Saccharomyces cerevisiae S288C: one gene and its partners. The protein of the gene in region 4 binds, or shares a complex with, the protein of the main gene of each other region. Each region holds a gene or a part of one and is shown on either strand. Other genes may lie near its edges. The genes, in order: POL2, RFC4, CTF8 and DCC1. A codon is read from its position in the direction of its gene.

Evidence for each region.
Region 1: the proteins of DCC1 (region 4) and POL2 are in contact, whole or in part, in a crystal structure (PDB 5OKI), measured with the Saccharomyces cerevisiae proteins. Residues at the interface, in NP_009913.2 of Saccharomyces cerevisiae: Met356 (codon at 619), Lys357 (codon at 616), Ser360 (codon at 607), Met363 (codon at 598), Lys364 (codon at 595), Arg367 (codon at 586), Arg368 (codon at 583), Lys369 (codon at 580), Arg370 (codon at 577), Gly372 (codon at 571), Arg380 (codon at 547); in NP_014137.1 of Saccharomyces cerevisiae: Glu125 (codon at 5,680), Gly126 (codon at 5,677), Gly127 (codon at 5,674), Val285 (codon at 5,200), Phe320 (codon at 5,095), Asp334 (codon at 5,053), Phe346 (codon at 5,017), Thr348 (codon at 5,011), Phe350 (codon at 5,005), Arg361 (codon at 4,972), Glu364 (codon at 4,963), His365 (codon at 4,960), Asp368 (codon at 4,951), Val369 (codon at 4,948).
Region 2: DCC1 (region 4) and RFC4 share a complex: the UniProt entries of both Saccharomyces cerevisiae proteins name them as parts of the CTF18-RFC complex.
Region 3: the proteins of DCC1 (region 4) and CTF8 are in contact, whole or in part, in a crystal structure (PDB 5OKC), measured with the Saccharomyces cerevisiae proteins. Residues at the interface, in NP_009913.2 of Saccharomyces cerevisiae: Ser2 (codon at 1,681), Ile3 (codon at 1,678), Asn4 (codon at 1,675), Leu5 (codon at 1,672), His6 (codon at 1,669), Ser7 (codon at 1,666), Ala8 (codon at 1,663), Pro9 (codon at 1,660), Tyr11 (codon at 1,654), Asp12 (codon at 1,651), Ser14 (codon at 1,645), Tyr15 (codon at 1,642), Lys16 (codon at 1,639), Leu17 (codon at 1,636), Ile18 (codon at 1,633), Gln19 (codon at 1,630), Leu20 (codon at 1,627), Leu25 (codon at 1,612), Ile28 (codon at 1,603), Gln29 (codon at 1,600), Asp30 (codon at 1,597), Pro31 (codon at 1,594), Asn34 (codon at 1,585), His35 (codon at 1,582), Leu37 (codon at 1,576), Arg38 (codon at 1,573), Phe39 (codon at 1,570), Lys40 (codon at 1,567), Ser41 (codon at 1,564), Leu42 (codon at 1,561); in NP_012061.3 of Saccharomyces cerevisiae: Pro2 (codon at 1,736), Ser3 (codon at 1,739), Val4 (codon at 1,742), Asp5 (codon at 1,745), Ile6 (codon at 1,748), Asp7 (codon at 1,751), Ala8 (codon at 1,754), Ser9 (codon at 1,757), Trp11 (codon at 1,763), Gln12 (codon at 1,766), Gln16 (codon at 1,778), Thr23 (codon at 1,799), Ile25 (codon at 1,805), Gly29 (codon at 1,817), Met30 (codon at 1,820), Met31 (codon at 1,823), Met32 (codon at 1,826), Leu33 (codon at 1,829), Glu34 (codon at 1,832), Ile35 (codon at 1,835), Gln36 (codon at 1,838), Gly37 (codon at 1,841), Glu38 (codon at 1,844), Leu39 (codon at 1,847), Leu41 (codon at 1,853), Phe45 (codon at 1,865), Pro54 (codon at 1,892), Asn55 (codon at 1,895), Glu56 (codon at 1,898), Gly57 (codon at 1,901).

What each region holds. Positions count from the first base shown.
Region 1 is NC_001146.8:146,409-154,263, reverse strand, and holds the start of POL2 (DNA polymerase epsilon catalytic subunit), read right to left. Parts: upstream 6,053-7,855; coding exon 1-6,052. Other genes in the region: protein transporter YIF1, read left to right, coding at 6,424-7,368; PDR17 (phosphatidylinositol transporter), read left to right, coding at 7,649-7,855. UniProt on the Saccharomyces cerevisiae protein: Catalytic component of the DNA polymerase epsilon complex which participates in chromosomal DNA replication.
Region 2 is NC_001147.6:141,084-144,534, reverse strand, and holds RFC4 (replication factor C subunit 4), read left to right. Parts: upstream 1-1,979; coding exon 1,980-2,951; downstream 2,952-3,451. Other genes in the region: YPQ1 (cationic amino acid transporter), read right to left, coding at 1-331; TRM10 (tRNA (guanine(9)-N(1))-methyltransferase), read right to left, coding at 839-1,720; HMI1 (ATP-dependent 3'-5' DNA helicase), read left to right, coding at 3,188-3,451. UniProt on the Saccharomyces cerevisiae protein: Component of ATP-dependent clamp loader (RFC and RFC-like) complexes for DNA clamps, such as the POL30/PCNA homotrimer and the checkpoint clamp DDC1:MEC3:RAD17 complex.
Region 3 is NC_001140.6:485,672-488,363, reverse strand, and holds CTF8 (Ctf8p), read left to right. Parts: upstream 1-1,732; coding exon 1,733-2,134; downstream 2,135-2,692. Other genes in the region: EGD2 (Egd2p), read left to right, coding at 128-652; LNP1 (Lnp1p), read right to left, coding at 702-1,538; ERG9 (bifunctional farnesyl-diphosphate farnesyltransferase/squalene synthase), read right to left, coding at 2,185-2,692. UniProt on the Saccharomyces cerevisiae protein: Essential for the fidelity of chromosome transmission. Required for the DNA replication block checkpoint.
Region 4 is NC_001135.5:94,080-97,417, forward strand, and holds DCC1 (Dcc1p), read right to left. Parts: upstream 1,685-3,338; coding exon 542-1,684; downstream 1-541. Other genes in the region: NFS1 (cysteine desulfurase), read right to left, coding at 1-191; BUD3 (Bud3p), read left to right, coding at 2,202-3,338. UniProt on the Saccharomyces cerevisiae protein: Component of the RFC-like complex CTF18-RFC which is required for efficient establishment of chromosome cohesion during S-phase and may load or unload POL30/PCNA.

The DNA of each region.
Region 1 (7,855 bases), on a different chromosome or scaffold from region 4:
GCTTTTTGACTCTTTTCATTAGTGGTTTGGAAAAAAGGTGAGAAAATCCGTTCAACGAGTTTTCAACACTATCTTCCTTATCTTGTTTTTTTACATTAACTATTTGGGTAGGTCTTTGCGTCCCTGAATTCAATTTTAGATAGCTCTGCTTTGTCTTTAGCATACTATCCAATATGATCATCATCCAATCCTCAAATTCGGGCTGATATATTGGTGACAGAAACTTCTTTAGTTGCCATTGCGAAACAGCGGTATAATCCTGATTTTCCTTTTCCTCTATTTCAATACATGCTAATCCACTAAAATTAAACTTATCCATCCATATTAGCAGATCCCAATAACGTTTGATATTTAAGTCCAGATAACTAAACATTGGATTTGTTCTAACTGCCTTCATCATATATTGGCTGTAGGCGTAACAGTTTTCAGGTGAGTACTTGTTTGTCTTTATTAGAATTTGATTCCTGTCTGCATATACAATAGTTGAGCCAAGTGCACTAAATTCATTTACTAATTGAAGTAAGGCTTTTTTTGTTAAGTTATGAACGTGATATCTTAGTAATCCGTCGAATAGTTTCGCATTCGGGTTTTGAACCCAACTTGCCAGGGAATTTACCAACAAATCTGCGGTTGAATTTTCTTTTAGGGCCTCATCCCACCACTCCTTTAACATACCTCTTAAAACATTCAAAGCGTCATTAGAAAAGGCGTCGTGCACGAATTCAGATGGCGAGTTAATAACGGCATCTTTGTCATCTATACCCATATTATTGTTAACTAGATCACTGCCTTCAGCATCATTGATTAATGCTGATGTCAAAATTGTGTTCACTGTTAAATTATCAACACCAACATCGAGAACTACATTGTCATACACACCTGAGTTATTAATTTTGGGAAATTCTGAATCATTCATTATCCATGATGTATTTAAATCAAAATCATTTTGAATGCCTCCATGATCTGGAAGTGGAGCTTTCTCATTCCACCAAAGCACGATGTTCTCTTTTTTTAGTTTTCTTGCATAAAGAACATCAATAATATAATCCATACTATCCAGCCTCAAATTACAGATTGGAATGTTACTATACTGGGATAACTTGATCAAGTGAGAAATCCACGAACCACTGGATAAAACGTGGTTAACAAGTTTCTTCAATAATGTCGGTTGCCAGTTCAATTGGGGTAGAAGAACTTCATTCAAGGAAAGCTTAACAATGGGCATCTGGTTTAGAAGCCGGATTGTGCCTAAGAGCTTAGTGATAAACGGAGATTGTAACAAGAGTAAAAACTGCAGACCTCTTTCTTCTTTTAATTTAGTAGTTTCCTGTGATAGTCTTCTGTACAATTTTGAGATATCTGTAAAATATACAAACTCAAAATTGATATCTTCTTTAATATCAACCAAGTAAGAATATGTTTCTATTTTACCTTTCTTTTTTTCAAACATTTGTTTGTATATTTGTCCTAATGATGAGGCATTTATTTCCTGAGCCTGGTTGGATGGTTTCAAAACTAATATAGTAATAGTATCTCCCCATGACTTGAATAATGAAAAAAATTCATACCCAATTGATGTTGGGAAATGTAGTAAATAGCCAATGTCCATTGAAAATCCACTCAGATACCTTTCATTTTCCGCCATTGAAAGATCCTTCATTTCAAAACCCTGCTGTATTCCCTTGCCTAACGCACCCATTGCTTTTGAGCGGAACGTTACCGAAGCTCCCAAATCCATGATCGCTCTTTGATGAGGAGTGATAGTGCCCTCAAATACACCAAGTACATTTTCATCGTTGAAGATACTAGTGCAGTTTTCCTTTTCTTCCAGAAAGACAGATTCCGGTAGAGTAATTTTGAATAGCTGACCGCCTGCTGGATTAGACGTTTTGGGATTATTTGGTAACGATGCAGAAGATTTTTCAATAAGGCAATTCTTAATCTTTTGTAGCGGCATTGTTTGAGATTTGAATTTCATATAAATAGTTTTTGGTATATGGAAGGTGATGTTCTGGACTTTGCCATTAATTGTTACAAATACTTCCAAAACCCCTGGCTCACCGGAATCCTTGTATTGTAAGACCTCCCAAGTGGAGTTCGCATATGATTCAGCTTGCTTCCTAATCATACTTCCTAGTGCACTTCTTTCACGGGAGCTGTTTGTATTACCAAATAATTGGTCTCGACGCTTTCTATCTCTTGCTTGGATTTTCCATTTAATTTTTTGATAATTTAGCCACCCAACATAGTCCTCGTCCATGGAAGGAATCTCCGAGGGCAATACTAGTGGATCTTCTTCATTTGTAAGCTGATTTCTTTTCCTCTTGGATACGGCTTTCTTTTTAGTAGTTCTTGCAATTTTAATTTTGGCGTTATCTTCTTCTACAGTTGGTTCAAACAAATCCTCGATATCTTTTATCTTGCCCATTGTTGGTACATTCTTTGTCTTCGAAAAAAATTTGGTTAGTGAAGTCTGCTTAAACTTATCCTCCTTTGTAGCGATTTTTCTTTTTAGCCAATCTGGATGTTCAACCCTTGGAACAGGATTGGAAACCCCTTGTAATGCTGCTGGAATAGTAATTATCTTTTGTATAGCAGATCCAAGTCTTTCTCTATAATAACCCCAATCGATTATGGTTCTGATATCCAGATCTTCCAAAGATGGATCTAATGTCCATCGCCTCAGAAAAGACCTTTTGATGGGAATGTCCGCTGAAAATATTGCGACTGGAATGGCTCGTTCAGTAACAGGTGCATTGAAAGGTTTTGAACTAATAATATATTTACATTGTAGACCTTTATCTTTTACCATATCTTCACCCAAAAAATCCCCCAATCTCCTTGCCGTCGTAATAGAAGTAGATTTTTGCCCTTCATATTCCTTTAAAGTTTTTGACATACTTCTATTTTCACAAATCAAACTGACCAAGTCTTCATCTTCTAACATAAGACCATGTGAATCAAGAACATCTAACCAACGGTTACATACGCTTGCTACAGCACTGTAACATCCTTCTAATGTATCACCTTCCAAAAAGACCTTGAAAATATCACTTTGAAAATTTTTTATTAGTTGTAATTCACCACGCCTCTTCAATTCAAAACCTTTCAGTTCAGCAAGTGAGCCGTCTTCATTGAAGACAGCATATCTTTTCTTTATACCTTTTCCTTCTTCCTTGGAACTAGGCAAAATCATGGCCTTATATGGTCCGTCAACTTCGAAAAAAATCGTGTTTTCACTGTGCGTCTCATATATATAGTTCAATGGGTCTTTTAATTCTTGGTATTGGTGATTCGTAAACTTTTGGTGAACTCTGTAATTCAGCATGGAACATGGGTAGGAGAGATAAAGCTTTTTACCATTTTCTAATGTAAAAAAGTAAGTTTCAGGGAAAGATTTTGGTAAGATACACCAAATACCATCAGTATCTAATTCTAATGGTCTTCCTACCCTTTCTACTAAAGCTCTCGCCATTTGAATGATCGTGGCACCTGTTAAACACGTAATCCCCGCCATTTCCATGGAATACCAACGAGAGCCTTTCCTCATAACATACCCATAAAACGAATTCAAAATAACTTTGTGAGCTAATTGTAATGAGTCATAAAGCACAATCATCTTTTTGGCCTCGTCTCTCGCATGCTTATCAGATGGGTCAATTTTGGACAGATTTCCCTTCCAAGTCTTGGCTAAACCTTTGAATTCGTAACGCCTATCACGAAAGGATTTCACGGTATCGACGTAGAATGGATTTTCTCTTTGGCAGACAATGGCTTCTCGTTCGACAATTTCTGATACTTTAACCCTATGATAAACTTTCCTTGAATATTCAGTTAAACGTTTTTTTATGTGGATAACTTGGTCTGCGTAACTTAGTTCATCAAATGTCAAAACTTTCTTTTTAGAAAACTTGTTTTTGTTGGGAAAAGTCTCATTTTGTAATGCACGCTTGATCATGTTATACTCATCCATCTTACTGGGAAAGAATTCTCCTCTCCAAGCCCATTTTAACTTTCTTGCACAGGTTTTTCCGGGTCTATTAAAATCGCAACTAGCACAATCGCGCTCTGCTTTGATACTATCTGGTTGTAGTCTATTTGTAGTCATGATGTTTGGGTACATAGAGGCGACATCTACATGATAGATCAAAGGTAGTTCGTTTCTTATATTGTTTTCCTTCAACTCTAATAATTTCTGCGTTATCTGGTTTTTTATTTCCTCAAAATTCGTTACTTTATCTACACTGGACTTATTTTCAACTTCCACACTAAATTTCAAAGCTTCTGGTAATTCTTGTAATAATTCATCAATGGCAGAAGGATCTATCTTGAATTCATTCTTCAAATCACTCCTAAAAACACCAGCTTCTAATGACTCCACATGTCCACCCACGTAAGTCTCGGATTCTAGAAGATGTCCATCATAGAACCTCTCAATGGGATCTGTATGCTTATTTGGTAGAAGAATATTATGTTGATAAGCTTGAACCATCAACAACATTTCACACAAAGTACCGGTACCCTTTCTCAATGTTTCATCCGGGTTCAAAGGAATAATAGTACAAAGGGAAAAGATAAAAGGATGAACATATTTCATGTAAAGGTAATACGTAGCGACTGCATCGGAAACAGAATATTCGGAAAGGTGCTGTGGCTTTTCAAATGCATACGGCGTCATTAATTCGGGATCCAGTTCAATTGGGTTATAACCTAGCTTAGATTGAGTAACAGCTTTTAAACCCTGGGAACCTTGTGGTAAATAAGAATCACGCTTCACCCAACGGAAACAATCCATGTGAGAGCAGTATGAGGACTTGTACTCACCTTCAGCATCTGGAGCGAAACCAATTTCATCGAACATGTCCAAGCCGTGAATCTTACTTCTGTTATGTATAAAAGGCCAATCGAAAAAGTCACCATTGAAGGTGGATATAACAGTGGGTCGTACATCTCTTATATGTTCAAAAAACCTTTGTAGAAGCGCCACTTCATCGTTTTCGTTAAATATGGTGAAAAAACCAGGATACTCCGGTTTCGGTGTATACTCAAAGTCTTCAATATCCTCAGAGATTATCTCCCTATTTGTTATCAAAAAACCTTCCCCATCGATCATATACGAAATCATCATTATTTGATCTACGGCGGAATCCGGGAATTTTAAAGGCGGCTTCGTGGTTTCTATATCAAATGCCATTACCACAGGGTCGGCAAATGCAATTTTCCTAGTATCTTCAATGAATCCCTGTTGAGTTACCTTATACCATTTACCGACTCTAATGTCCTTGTCTATAGATACTCGGACATGATACGGCACATCATATTCCCTGATATCTTCGATCAGATGTTTGGCGTCAACTTTTTCCGAGCCATTTGCAGCAACGTTATATATATTTCTTTGCACATTATTATTGGCATTATCCTGCAAGATTGGCCTCAGGAGTTTCCTGGCCTCGAATAACTGATTGGAATTTACAAATGATAACTTAATAAGTGTCTTCTGCAGCCCTAAAAGGTGATTGTCCATGGTAAGATCTTCCTTTCTAATGATTTGTAAGCTTTTGAGACAAGATTCCAGATATTTTTTCACTAGTTCCTCCACATCATTTACTCTTGATTCATCGTTACACGCAATAAAGAAGTATGGGTCATAGACAACTGTCGACTTGAAGCTCCCACCCTCTTCATCTAAAAAGTAGAAGTCAACTCCGGAAATACCTTGGTTGGTCGTTACACGTTCTCCGTCATTCGAATTGCCGCCGCCATTACTACCACTGGATAAGGTTTCCTGAGAGACCAGCGTTGCGTGCATGTTCGTCAGCCACCCTACGCGGCCTGGAATCTGATCTATATCCTTCGCATCAAACCTGCCATTGTATTGCGGCGGTACGTATCTTTCAAATCCCATCATCGAATCGATGTCATCGATCTTACTAGCATTTAAGAGCTGTTGCGCGCTAAGCGCATAATTATTTGAGAGTGTGTTGTACTTGTTGCCAGCTGAATATCTTGCAGTGGAAGATCCTCCGTTGTTTTTTTTCTTGCCAAACATCATATACTTGTCCCCTGAGAGTGTTATCTTGATAGAATGTGCTCTTTCATCATCATATGCTCTTTTTGATAGGTCCTCTTCCAGTTAAAATGGTAAAAGATGCAAGAAACTTACGCGTTCTGGTTACCCTACCTGAAAATAAACCATTCTGACAATTCAAATGACAATAAACTTGGGCCTTTGACGAACACTGACAGTGTTACTATTACTTTTTCTCAGTGCTAAAACAGCATATCCGAGACTCTGTATCAAGATCCATATTGCACACCAGAGCTGTTGTTTTATACTACAACTCATCTTTTTGACTTTTCGATTGTAAGACCTCGCTACTGAGTATCAATAGCAGAAAACGAAAACCAAAGGCCCATACCAAGATGTCTTATAATCCGTACGCATATGCAACAAGTGAGCAGAATGGCGTTAACGATCGCTTTTCCCACACTCCACAACAGCAACGACCAATGCAAATTCCGAGGAACACGCCCGTGAATGGCCAAGGTAATGCGAATATGAATGCAAACGTAAATGGCAGTGGCGGTGGTTTTCCATTCCAAGATCCTCGTGGTTCGATGGCATTCCAACTAGGGCAGAGCGCATTTTCTAATTTTATTGGTCAGGATAACTTTAACCAGTTTCAAGAAACGGTCAATAAAGCCACTGCAAACGCTGCCGGCTCTCAACAAATTTCAACGTATTTTCAAGTCAGCACCCGTTATGTCATCAATAAATTGAAACTCATCCTAGTTCCTTTTCTTAACGGAACCAAGAACTGGCAACGAATTATGGACTCTGGCAACTTTTTGCCACCAAGGGATGACGTGAACTCCCCAGACATGTACATGCCTATTATGGGACTAGTTACCTATATTCTCATCTGGAATACGCAGCAAGGTCTGAAGGGTTCATTCAACCCCGAAGACTTGTACTACAAACTGTCTTCTACTCTGGCGTTTGTGTGTTTAGATTTGTTGATTTTGAAGCTTGGCTTGTATCTTTTGATCGATTCTAAGATTCCAAGCTTCAGTTTGGTCGAACTGTTGTGCTATGTCGGCTACAAATTTGTTCCATTGATTCTCGCCCAGCTTTTGACCAACGTGACCATGCCATTTAACCTGAATATTTTGATAAAATTTTACTTATTTATTGCCTTTGGCGTATTCCTACTAAGATCCGTCAAGTTCAATTTACTAAGCCGCTCCGGTGCTGAAGACGATGATATACACGTTTCCATCAGCAAATCGACCGTCAAGAAGTGCAATTACTTCCTATTCGTCTATGGCTTCATTTGGCAAAATGTTCTAATGTGGTTAATGGGTTGATCTTGATTGAAGAGATCAAAGAGAGGATTTAATTTCATGCGCATTATTATTATCTACGGTCAATTTGTTAAATACTTATATACTTTTATTCCTACGTCATAAATTTTCTATTTACTTTTCTTATTTTTCCTTTCACTCAATATGGAGTGGAAAGAGAACAATAGAGGGATTAAAATTCGTGGGAAAAATCACGCTTTTTAGATAGATTTAATTTACATCATTGTTTAAAAAAAAAGACCCTGAAAAATCACACAAAGAAAGCACAAGAAGAAGAACAAAAATGGGTCTTTTTTCAAGAAAACGGGACCATACGCCTGCTGTGCCTAAAGAGAAACTTATTCCATGTGATAAGATATTCTTGGACCCTCCTGCCAAGTATGGTAACGCACCTCTACTGGAACCCATCTCCGAAGATCAAAACGAAAAATATAGAGCTGTCTTACGACATTTTCAAGATGATGATCTGAAATTACCAGAAAATCTCAAT
Region 2 (3,451 bases), on a different chromosome or scaffold from region 4:
TGGCAGGGGAGAGATGAATAGGGTCTACTGCTGGTTTTTCCTCATTATCGTACCATAGACATTGACCTAGTAAAATGATATCTGCCACCGTATAGTAAGCAGCAAGAATGATCATGGTAGACAAAAGATGTTGCATAACGGCACCCATAAGGTTAAAGACATCGCCGGCCAACCAAAGTACCACGAACAATAAAGACAGCCCATCAGACGACTTCCGGTAAAAGTTCTCGTAAATTTGAGGGACAAACACAATGATCCAGCAGGAGATGGAGATGGACCCAGATATCCCACTTAGAGTGGATCTATTCAATTCTAGCGGCACAAGTTGCATAATTGAGGTCGTCGAGCGATGTGGTAGCTTTTTTTTTGTATGGCATTCTTTCGTTAGCAGTACATATCATCGCGAAGACGATTAAAGTACGTAGTGAATAAAAAGACGATATGTGAAAAATTGCAATCCGGGTAAAAATAAAAGAGTCATTAAGAGCAAAAATGACCATATTAGAGAATTTACAGGTAAAACACATACAACATCAAAGCAAAATAAGCAAAGAGAAATAAGAAGTATCCTCCCACGGCCCTACATTAGATTTGGACCTCTCGGACACTAAGATTGGTGTTGTTAATATTAAAAAGGGAATGCCATTTAGATTTCGAGTGGAGCCAGTTTCGGCGGCTAATGTCCAAGTACTATGATAAGCATAAACACCCTTTGAAGAACTACTACCAGTTGCGCATGTTTAACCCGTATCTCTGACATCAATATACACCTATTGTAGCTACGGAGACTATTACTATTTTGCTATTCAGTTACTAATAATACTACAGTGATGGCTGCCTATGTGTCCTTTGGAGCTGGCGAAGAGCTTGCGGATTTTGCTTCCGCATCCAGCTTTCTGGGTGGTAAAACGCTTTCAAAGGCATTTTTCCAGTTATGGTCATCAAAGTATTTCAGCATGAGTTGCACGACGTGCGTTGTCGTCAACACTCTTCTGCCTTCGAGATTGATGTACTCGTCAATGGGCAATCTTCGCGTAGGAATGCCCATCTTTTGGGCCTTCTTCAGACACAATTCTTTATAACGATTCTTGTCTACAATGCCGCCAACAATGTATCGCATCCCGGGTTCCAGCTTCTCCAGCTTTTCCTCTGTATCGGCCGTTAAATACACTATTTTGTCCTTACTTATATGCTCATCTCCAAACATGATTTTGTCGTCTGGTAGGAATTTAAAATGGTTCCAGTTTTCATAATTGGTATTTTTCAGAGTAGTTTCAAACCTTTGCTTTAGTCTTTTGTCGAATGGGGCCACCTTTATTTCTGCAAAATGGTTCGCCCTTCTATTCGCGGAGTATGCCCTGGTGACCTGGTTAGACAAGCTTACTATTTCCTTGTCGTTCATTAACTCATCAAAAGAACAGTCAAGTATGATCTCTATCCCAGAATCAGTCTGATTCACATTGATACGAGGCTCTCTAATCAATTCCTGCGGGACCTCTTCTCCCCTGTCAATGTATTCTTGAATCTTCGCACTTCTTTCATGGCGAAGTCTCTTCTTCTTTACACGGCGTTCCGCATTGTATTTGGCTTTATTCTCCTCCCATCTCTGTCTTTTACACATTTTTTTCCATTGCTTTTTAGACATGCCTTCTGGCACAGGCGGTAAAGGTGGTGTTCTTTTCACCTTTTCCTCGTTCTGGTTTATCTCATCATTGGACATGTTGTTTTGCCTGCAGATTGACACTTAATTATTTACCTTGAAAGCTTTACGCTATATTAAACATCACCATCTCTCTTAAAGACAATGAAAATTTTTCATTACCACATCACACTGTTAGATTAAACGCGTTTTTTCTTGACAAAAAGGTGGGAAAACCAACCACATATTTTAAATACTGTAAAATAGTAGCATTTATAAATCTGATTGGATCTATTATAACATTGCAGAGCTTCCCAGAAGATATAAAAAGTCCCTTATAATGTCCAAAACTTTATCTTTGCAACTTCCATGGGTTGAGAAATACCGTCCCCAAGTTTTATCTGATATAGTCGGTAATAAAGAGACCATTGATAGACTTCAGCAAATCGCTAAAGATGGTAACATGCCCCATATGATCATATCAGGTATGCCAGGTATAGGTAAGACCACTTCGGTACATTGCCTTGCTCACGAGCTCCTTGGCCGCTCTTATGCTGACGGTGTTTTAGAGTTGAACGCTTCAGATGACAGAGGTATTGATGTCGTCAGAAACCAAATAAAACATTTTGCCCAGAAGAAACTACATTTGCCTCCAGGGAAACATAAAATCGTTATTCTTGATGAGGCGGATTCCATGACTGCTGGTGCTCAGCAAGCGTTGAGAAGGACCATGGAGCTATATTCGAACTCTACAAGGTTTGCATTTGCTTGTAATCAATCAAACAAGATCATTGAGCCGCTGCAAAGTAGATGTGCGATTTTGAGGTATTCTAAACTATCCGATGAAGACGTTCTAAAACGTCTTTTACAAATCATAAAGCTAGAGGATGTTAAGTATACAAATGATGGGTTAGAAGCAATCATTTTTACAGCGGAGGGTGACATGAGACAGGCCATAAACAATCTACAAAGTACAGTAGCAGGACACGGTTTAGTGAACGCAGACAATGTCTTCAAAATTGTTGATTCTCCTCACCCTCTAATAGTGAAGAAAATGTTACTAGCCTCCAACCTAGAAGATTCAATTCAAATCTTAAGAACAGATCTTTGGAAAAAGGGTTATTCCTCGATTGATATCGTCACAACATCTTTCCGCGTTACCAAAAACTTAGCACAAGTGAAAGAATCAGTAAGATTGGAAATGATAAAAGAAATCGGTTTGACCCATATGAGAATTCTGGAGGGTGTTGGAACGTACTTGCAACTGGCTAGTATGTTAGCGAAAATTCATAAACTAAATAATAAAGCCTGATTTAAATATCCGAAAACTATAAAAAAAACTCCCATATTAGTGCATTACTTTAAATTCTACTTCTTTGTCTTGTCTCTTCCCTTGTGATGTGTCAGAATTTTTTTTTTTTTTTCATTTTTGCACAATTTAAGCTTTAAAGTTGTTTGTTGATCAAAACTTACAACTCGCAGTGCAGTTACATAGTCATAATATGTAGAAAAAATATAGAGAAGGTATACGTCGTTCGTTGAAGACAGATGGACAAGCTAACTCCATCTCAATGGAAGGTAATAAATAAGTCATATGAACCAGCGTCTACGATAAAAGTCATTGCGGGCCCAGGCTCAGGAAAAACGCTAACGCTACTATATAAAGTACTACATTTAATTACTGTGGAGAATATTAAGCCTGAAGAAATACTTATATTTTCGTTAACAAACAAAGCAGTTGATAGTATAATAGAAAATTTACTGTCCATTTTCGAAAACTCGCATACAAATAAGGAAATTGTCCATCAGATT
Region 3 (2,692 bases), on a different chromosome or scaffold from region 4:
TTCATCGCCGAAGAAAAAAATGACAAAAAGTTGAATGAAAAGGATTATTTTAAACAAGAACTAAGGTAAAGTCTCCTTCTGGGAGCAACCCTTACAAGCAACCACACACCCACATACTCAATTGATAATGTCTGCTATCCCAGAAAACGCCAACGTTACCGTCTTAAACAAGAACGAAAAGAAAGCCAGAGAATTGATTGGCAAATTGGGTTTGAAGCAAATCCCAGGTATCATCAGAGTCACTTTCAGGAAGAAGGACAACCAAATCTATGCTATTGAAAAGCCAGAAGTCTTCAGATCTGCCGGTGGTAACTACGTTGTCTTCGGTGAAGCTAAGGTTGACAACTTTACCCAAAAGCTAGCCGCTGCTCAACAACAAGCTCAAGCTAGCGGTATTATGCCATCTAACGAAGACGTCGCTACCAAGTCCCCAGAAGACATCCAAGCTGACATGCAAGCCGCCGCAGAAGGCAGTGTCAACGCCGCAGCAGAAGAAGATGACGAAGAAGGTGAAGTTGATGCCGGTGACTTGAATAAGGATGATATCGAGTTAGTCGTTCAACAAACTAACGTTTCCAAAAACCAAGCCATCAAAGCCCTGAAAGCTCACAATGGTGACTTAGTCAACGCTATCATGTCCTTGTCTAAATAATGATATAAAAATATATTATATAGGGGTACGTAGTTATTCTAACGCAAAATCATTTTGTTTTTTCCTTCTCCGACTGCGAAGGCTGTGCCGGTTGTTTTGCTTCAATGGCGTCTTCTCTTTCCTTTACTTCGTCTATTTTGTGGTTACAGTGAGGACAGATAAAGATGATTGGCTTACTGGCCAATCTGTAGCAATTGGATTTCCAATGACACTGTGGACATATGATTTTTTTGAAGGGAGAGAGCGAACTTGTTGAGTCCAATTCATTACCGCCTGCCAGTACGCTGATGATTTTGTCGAACCATGCATCGCTGTCTTCCTTCTTTAGGCCCTTTACATGGCTTTCCTTCTTAAATTTTTCTAGCTCTGTCTTTAGATTGTTTAATTCTTGGTATTTAGCATTTAATTCATCATCTAGAAGTACCATGGCATCGTCGTTTTGATCTTCACCGGAAGAAAACCGTTGGATGATTGAGCTTGTAGCATTATAGTGGGTCTCTTCCTTTAACTTTTCCAGTTTCTTTTGATGAATTGCACGGAGTTTTGCCAACTTGCGTAACCTATTGTTGTTATAAAATGCATAGAGTTTGGTTAATGCCCATTTGAACAAGATTAGCGAGCCTATGCATAGTAGCGCAGTCACCACAAGGTATGGTCGATAACCATGGTACTCCCAATATGTGTAGCTCAGGGCCAATACCGTTAACGCAATACCATAAAAGGTCAGATTTGATTGCCATTGACTCAAGATGGATTGGCTTTTCTTTAACGCGACATCTAATTGATGGATCTGTGAAGTTATTTGTGATAAATCTGCGGTATACTTCGTCACAAAGTCCTTATCATTGCGAGAGCCTCGGACCCATTTACCTAATGCACTAAACATATTTATGTTATTCTTTTATATCCGATCTCCTCTTTGTATGATTTTTGTTTTCTTAAAATATACATGTCAACGTTAGCATCTTGAATTTCATTTTTCCTTTAATCTTTTTTAGTAAGCTAACCACTAATATAGCCAAAGGAGTGATAGAAAAAAGAATTATCACTATCATTCAGCCCAATAAACAGCTGAAAAGAATGCCTAGTGTAGATATAGATGCTAGTCAATGGCAGAAGTTGACACAGTCAAGAGAAAAGCAGACCACGGTGATAACACCGCTTGGGATGATGATGCTGGAGATTCAAGGTGAACTAGAGTTGCCTAAGGACTTTGCGTCGCTGGCGAGGAGAGATTCTCCAAATGAGGGAAGGTTCAGTGAACAGGACGGCGAAACTTTAATACGATTTGGGTCGTTACAGATTGACGGAGAGAGGGCCACATTGTTTGTCGGCAAGAAACAGCGTTTACTGGGGAAGGTGACAAAGCTAGACGTACCGATGGGTATAATGCATTTCAATTCGAAAGATAATAAGGTCGAATTAGTTGATGTAATGAAATATAAGGTTATCTTTAAGGATAGGCCTCTACCTATTATGTAAGTACTTAGTTATTGTTCGGAGTTGTTTGTTTATGTTATTTGGCGCAGACTTCACGCTCTGTGTAAAGTGTATATATAATAAAACCCAAGAAGAACGGACAAGATGATAGATAAAACCATATTGAACTTGTACTCTTCTTCTTGTTGGGTTGGAACCAATTCATCATCGTATCTGGATCTTTCTTTAACTTTCAAGAAAATTGGAGTTTCATTTGGCTTCACGTTAGGAGGTAATTTATCCTGGTACATTTCTTCCATAAACTGTTCGATCTTGGAGATTTGAATGTTCAATTTTAAGAAATTTGGATCTTGCACAGCCAATTTAGATTTGATATCACGTAAGTAATAGTCAAAAATCTCGACACAGCCACGCAAAGTCCTTGATTTCAAAATTAAATAGCAGGTAGTACCCTTACGAATCTTTACATTGCCATGTAGCACTTCACGGTTGTTGAATACCAAAGCCAAGGTTGCAATGGCCATAACTTGGGGAATGGCACAAAATTGGAAAGTGGATTGCTCGTGGATACCGGCCAAATAAGTCAACACATCGATAACA
Region 4 (3,338 bases):
CTAGCCTGTGCCTTTGCAGCAGCCTGAATATCGGTATGCGTTTCCAGAGAGAAGTTGTCGTCTAACTTCACGCCTGCTGCAGGAGGGGAATAGAATCTCCTGCTTACCAAACAAGCCCTATATGTGGCCGCTGGAACGTTGTAAACTTGAGATAATCTTGTTATCGATCTTGTAGCAGTTGATTTCAACATCTTCCAGTTGTAGCAGTTCCTTCGTGTATGCGATATATTTTAATGAAAATGATGTATCTGAAATAGAAAATATAACACACTAATGAACTCTGTCGGTCTTTACTCTGAGTGAGTTACTTAGATAGTCATCATATATCCCTGGGCGATGGCCTTACTATTTGTCAGCGACCGTATCTAAAATTGGTAGGTCACTATCAACTATTGCGGGTAATAGGGTGCATAATAGTATTGTAATATATATAAATATATAAAGCTACTATGATAGATATTTGTTGCTATTCACGTCATCCACTATTACTTTAGTGGTTCCGCTATATATTCGCATTGCCCATCGAAGGCAGTTTTGTGTGCTACCTGCTCGTGACCACGGTCTTTTTGCCCAGTCTTTTACGGCGGGCATACTTCATGATGAAACTGTCTATTTTCATACCTCTTGAATTTAGTTCTTCAATTAGAGGCTTGATATCCTCCAAGTCCCACTGTGACTGTAGCCTAAACAGGACTTTAAACCGTTCTTTGGGGTCCATTGGTAGTGTGCTTTTCGCTATATACTGGACAGTCTTATCGGTAGGCTTGAAATGATAGCCTCGCAGCATGTCAATGTCAATGTCACATGGGAAGAAAGGTGGGAAAAGGGACTTCCACTTGATGAGGAACTCATCAATTGGCATGCTTATTCCAGAAACATATTTCCTTAGCGCTTGAATCCCGTACCACTGAGCTATAAACGGTATTCTCAAGCGCCACGTATTGTTTTCAGCCTCTTGCTCTTGAACAGCAAATTTATTCAGCACTGTTTCAATGATTTCTCTTGTGTATGGATTGAACTCGTCCTCAATGTCCTTCCCCACAGCGTGATGTGTATCCTCAACATTCAGATGCTGTAGATCGAGTGATTCTGCCATTGCGCTCATCAGTAGTACATGCAGTGCTTTGAAAAGGAAGTCTTGTGAAAGAATACACAACACACCGTCTTTCACAGATCCACCAATCTTATGCCATTTTGATATACCTTCTAGCGCAGAACATGGTGAGTTCTCAAGTAGTTCTTCCAGGGTCCCGATAACCTTTGTAGATGACCTCTTCATGATTTTGTCGGAGAAATCCAGTTCTCCGTTGTATATTGGTACTGAATTCAAGTTCAATTCGCCATGTGTCTCTCTGGTCTCAAATTCTGATTCAGTCTTGGCGAATCCCACGACGTCCATGTACGGCTTGGACAGTCCAAACAAGAGCGTTTCGTCGAAAGTAATAGGTTGTTCAGGAACAAATTCTCTCATTAGTAGAACTGTGTTTGAATGTTTGCGCTGCTTCAGCACCCAAGTCTTGTCGTGCGAACACAGTACAACTTCAGACTTGTCTTTGTCCAATGACTTAAACCTTAACTGGTGATTTTGAACCGGATCCTGTATTATATCCAGTAACTCTGGTGTCAACTGGATCAGCTTATAAGATGGATCATACTCGGGTGCGGAATGTAGGTTGATGGACATGGTACAGGATTATTAGTGAGCAAATCTCTGGTGGATTTTTACCGTTCATCTCATAGTGCTTTTTTAGTTTATTTTTCACTTTTTTCTGGTTATACTATACGCTGCCTACTGAAGCAATAAGCAAGAAACACAACAGTATAAAGGGACAAAGATAATAAACCGCCTACTACTAAATAATATCGCTGTGGTATGCTACTCCTAGAGATTTCGATCACCATCGTGGTGCTCTTTGTCATACGCATAGAATTGACAAAAAAGAACCCTAAGCTATAAATTAGGTCATGTTGAGCGATTGCCAGTTGCCAAGACCTAGGGTTTTGTTCGAACAATTCTAAAAAGGTAAATAAAAACAATGGTAAACAAAGGCTTTGATCTTCAATGAGGAAGATTTCTCTCACTGCGGATAGTAAAAACAACACTAGTTTGTCTGTACTCGCATTCTACTGCTGCTACCTGCTACTCATTACGTGTTCGGGCTGTTATCTGGTTGCTAAAAGAGTATATTTACACCTCACCAATGGAGAAAGACCTGTCGTCTCTTTACTCTGAAAAGAAAGACAAAGAGAACGATGAAACCTTATTTAACATCAAACTATCCAAATCTGTTGTCGAGACCACACCGCTAAATGGTCATTCATTGTTTGATGATGATAAATCACTTTCAGACTGGACGGATAATGTGTTCACTCAATCAGTATTCTATCACGGGTCAGATGACTTGATATGGGGGAAGTTCTTTGTCTGCGTGTACAAGTCCCCCAACAGCAATAAGTTGAACGCTATAATATTCGACAAATTAGGAACATCATGCTTCGAATCCGTCGATATATCTTCCAACTCGCAATACTATCCGGCCATTGAGAATTTGAGTCCAAGTGATCAGGAAAGCAATGTTAAGAAATGCATTGCTGTCATTCTGTTACAGCGCTATCCATTACTTTCACCATCAGACTTATCACAAATATTGTCCAATAAATCGGAAAATTGCGACTATGACCCCCCTTATGCTGGAGATTTGGCTAGTAGTTGCCAGTTGATAACAGCAGTTCCTCCAGAAGATCTGGGGAAGCGCTTCTTTACATCAGGACTTCTGCAAAATAGATTTGTCAGCTCTACCCTGTTAGATGTTATTTATGAAAACAATGAATCCACCATCGAACTAAATAATAGGTTGGTATTCCATCTGGGTGAACAACTTGAACAACTTTTTAACCCAGTCACAGAATACTCACCGGAACAGACAGAATATGGTTATAAGGCGCCAGAGGACGAATTACCCACAGAATCGGATGATGATCTTGTCAAGGCCATTTGCAACGAGTTATTACAACTACAAACAAATTTTACTTTCAATTTGGTAGAATTTTTGCAAAAATTCCTGATCGCCTTGAGAGTCAGAGTACTCAATGAAGAAATTAATGGGTTATCCACAACCAAATTAAATCGACTCTTCCCACCTACAATAGATGAAGTCACAAGAATCAATTGTATTTTTCTAGACTCGCTAAAGACAGCAATCCCTTACGGTTCCCTCGAAGTACTGAAGGCATGCAGCATTACTATTCCTTATTTCTACAAAGCATATACAAGACACGAGGCGGCCACAAAGAACTTCAGCAAAGATATTAAATTGTTTATTAGGCATTTCAGCAAT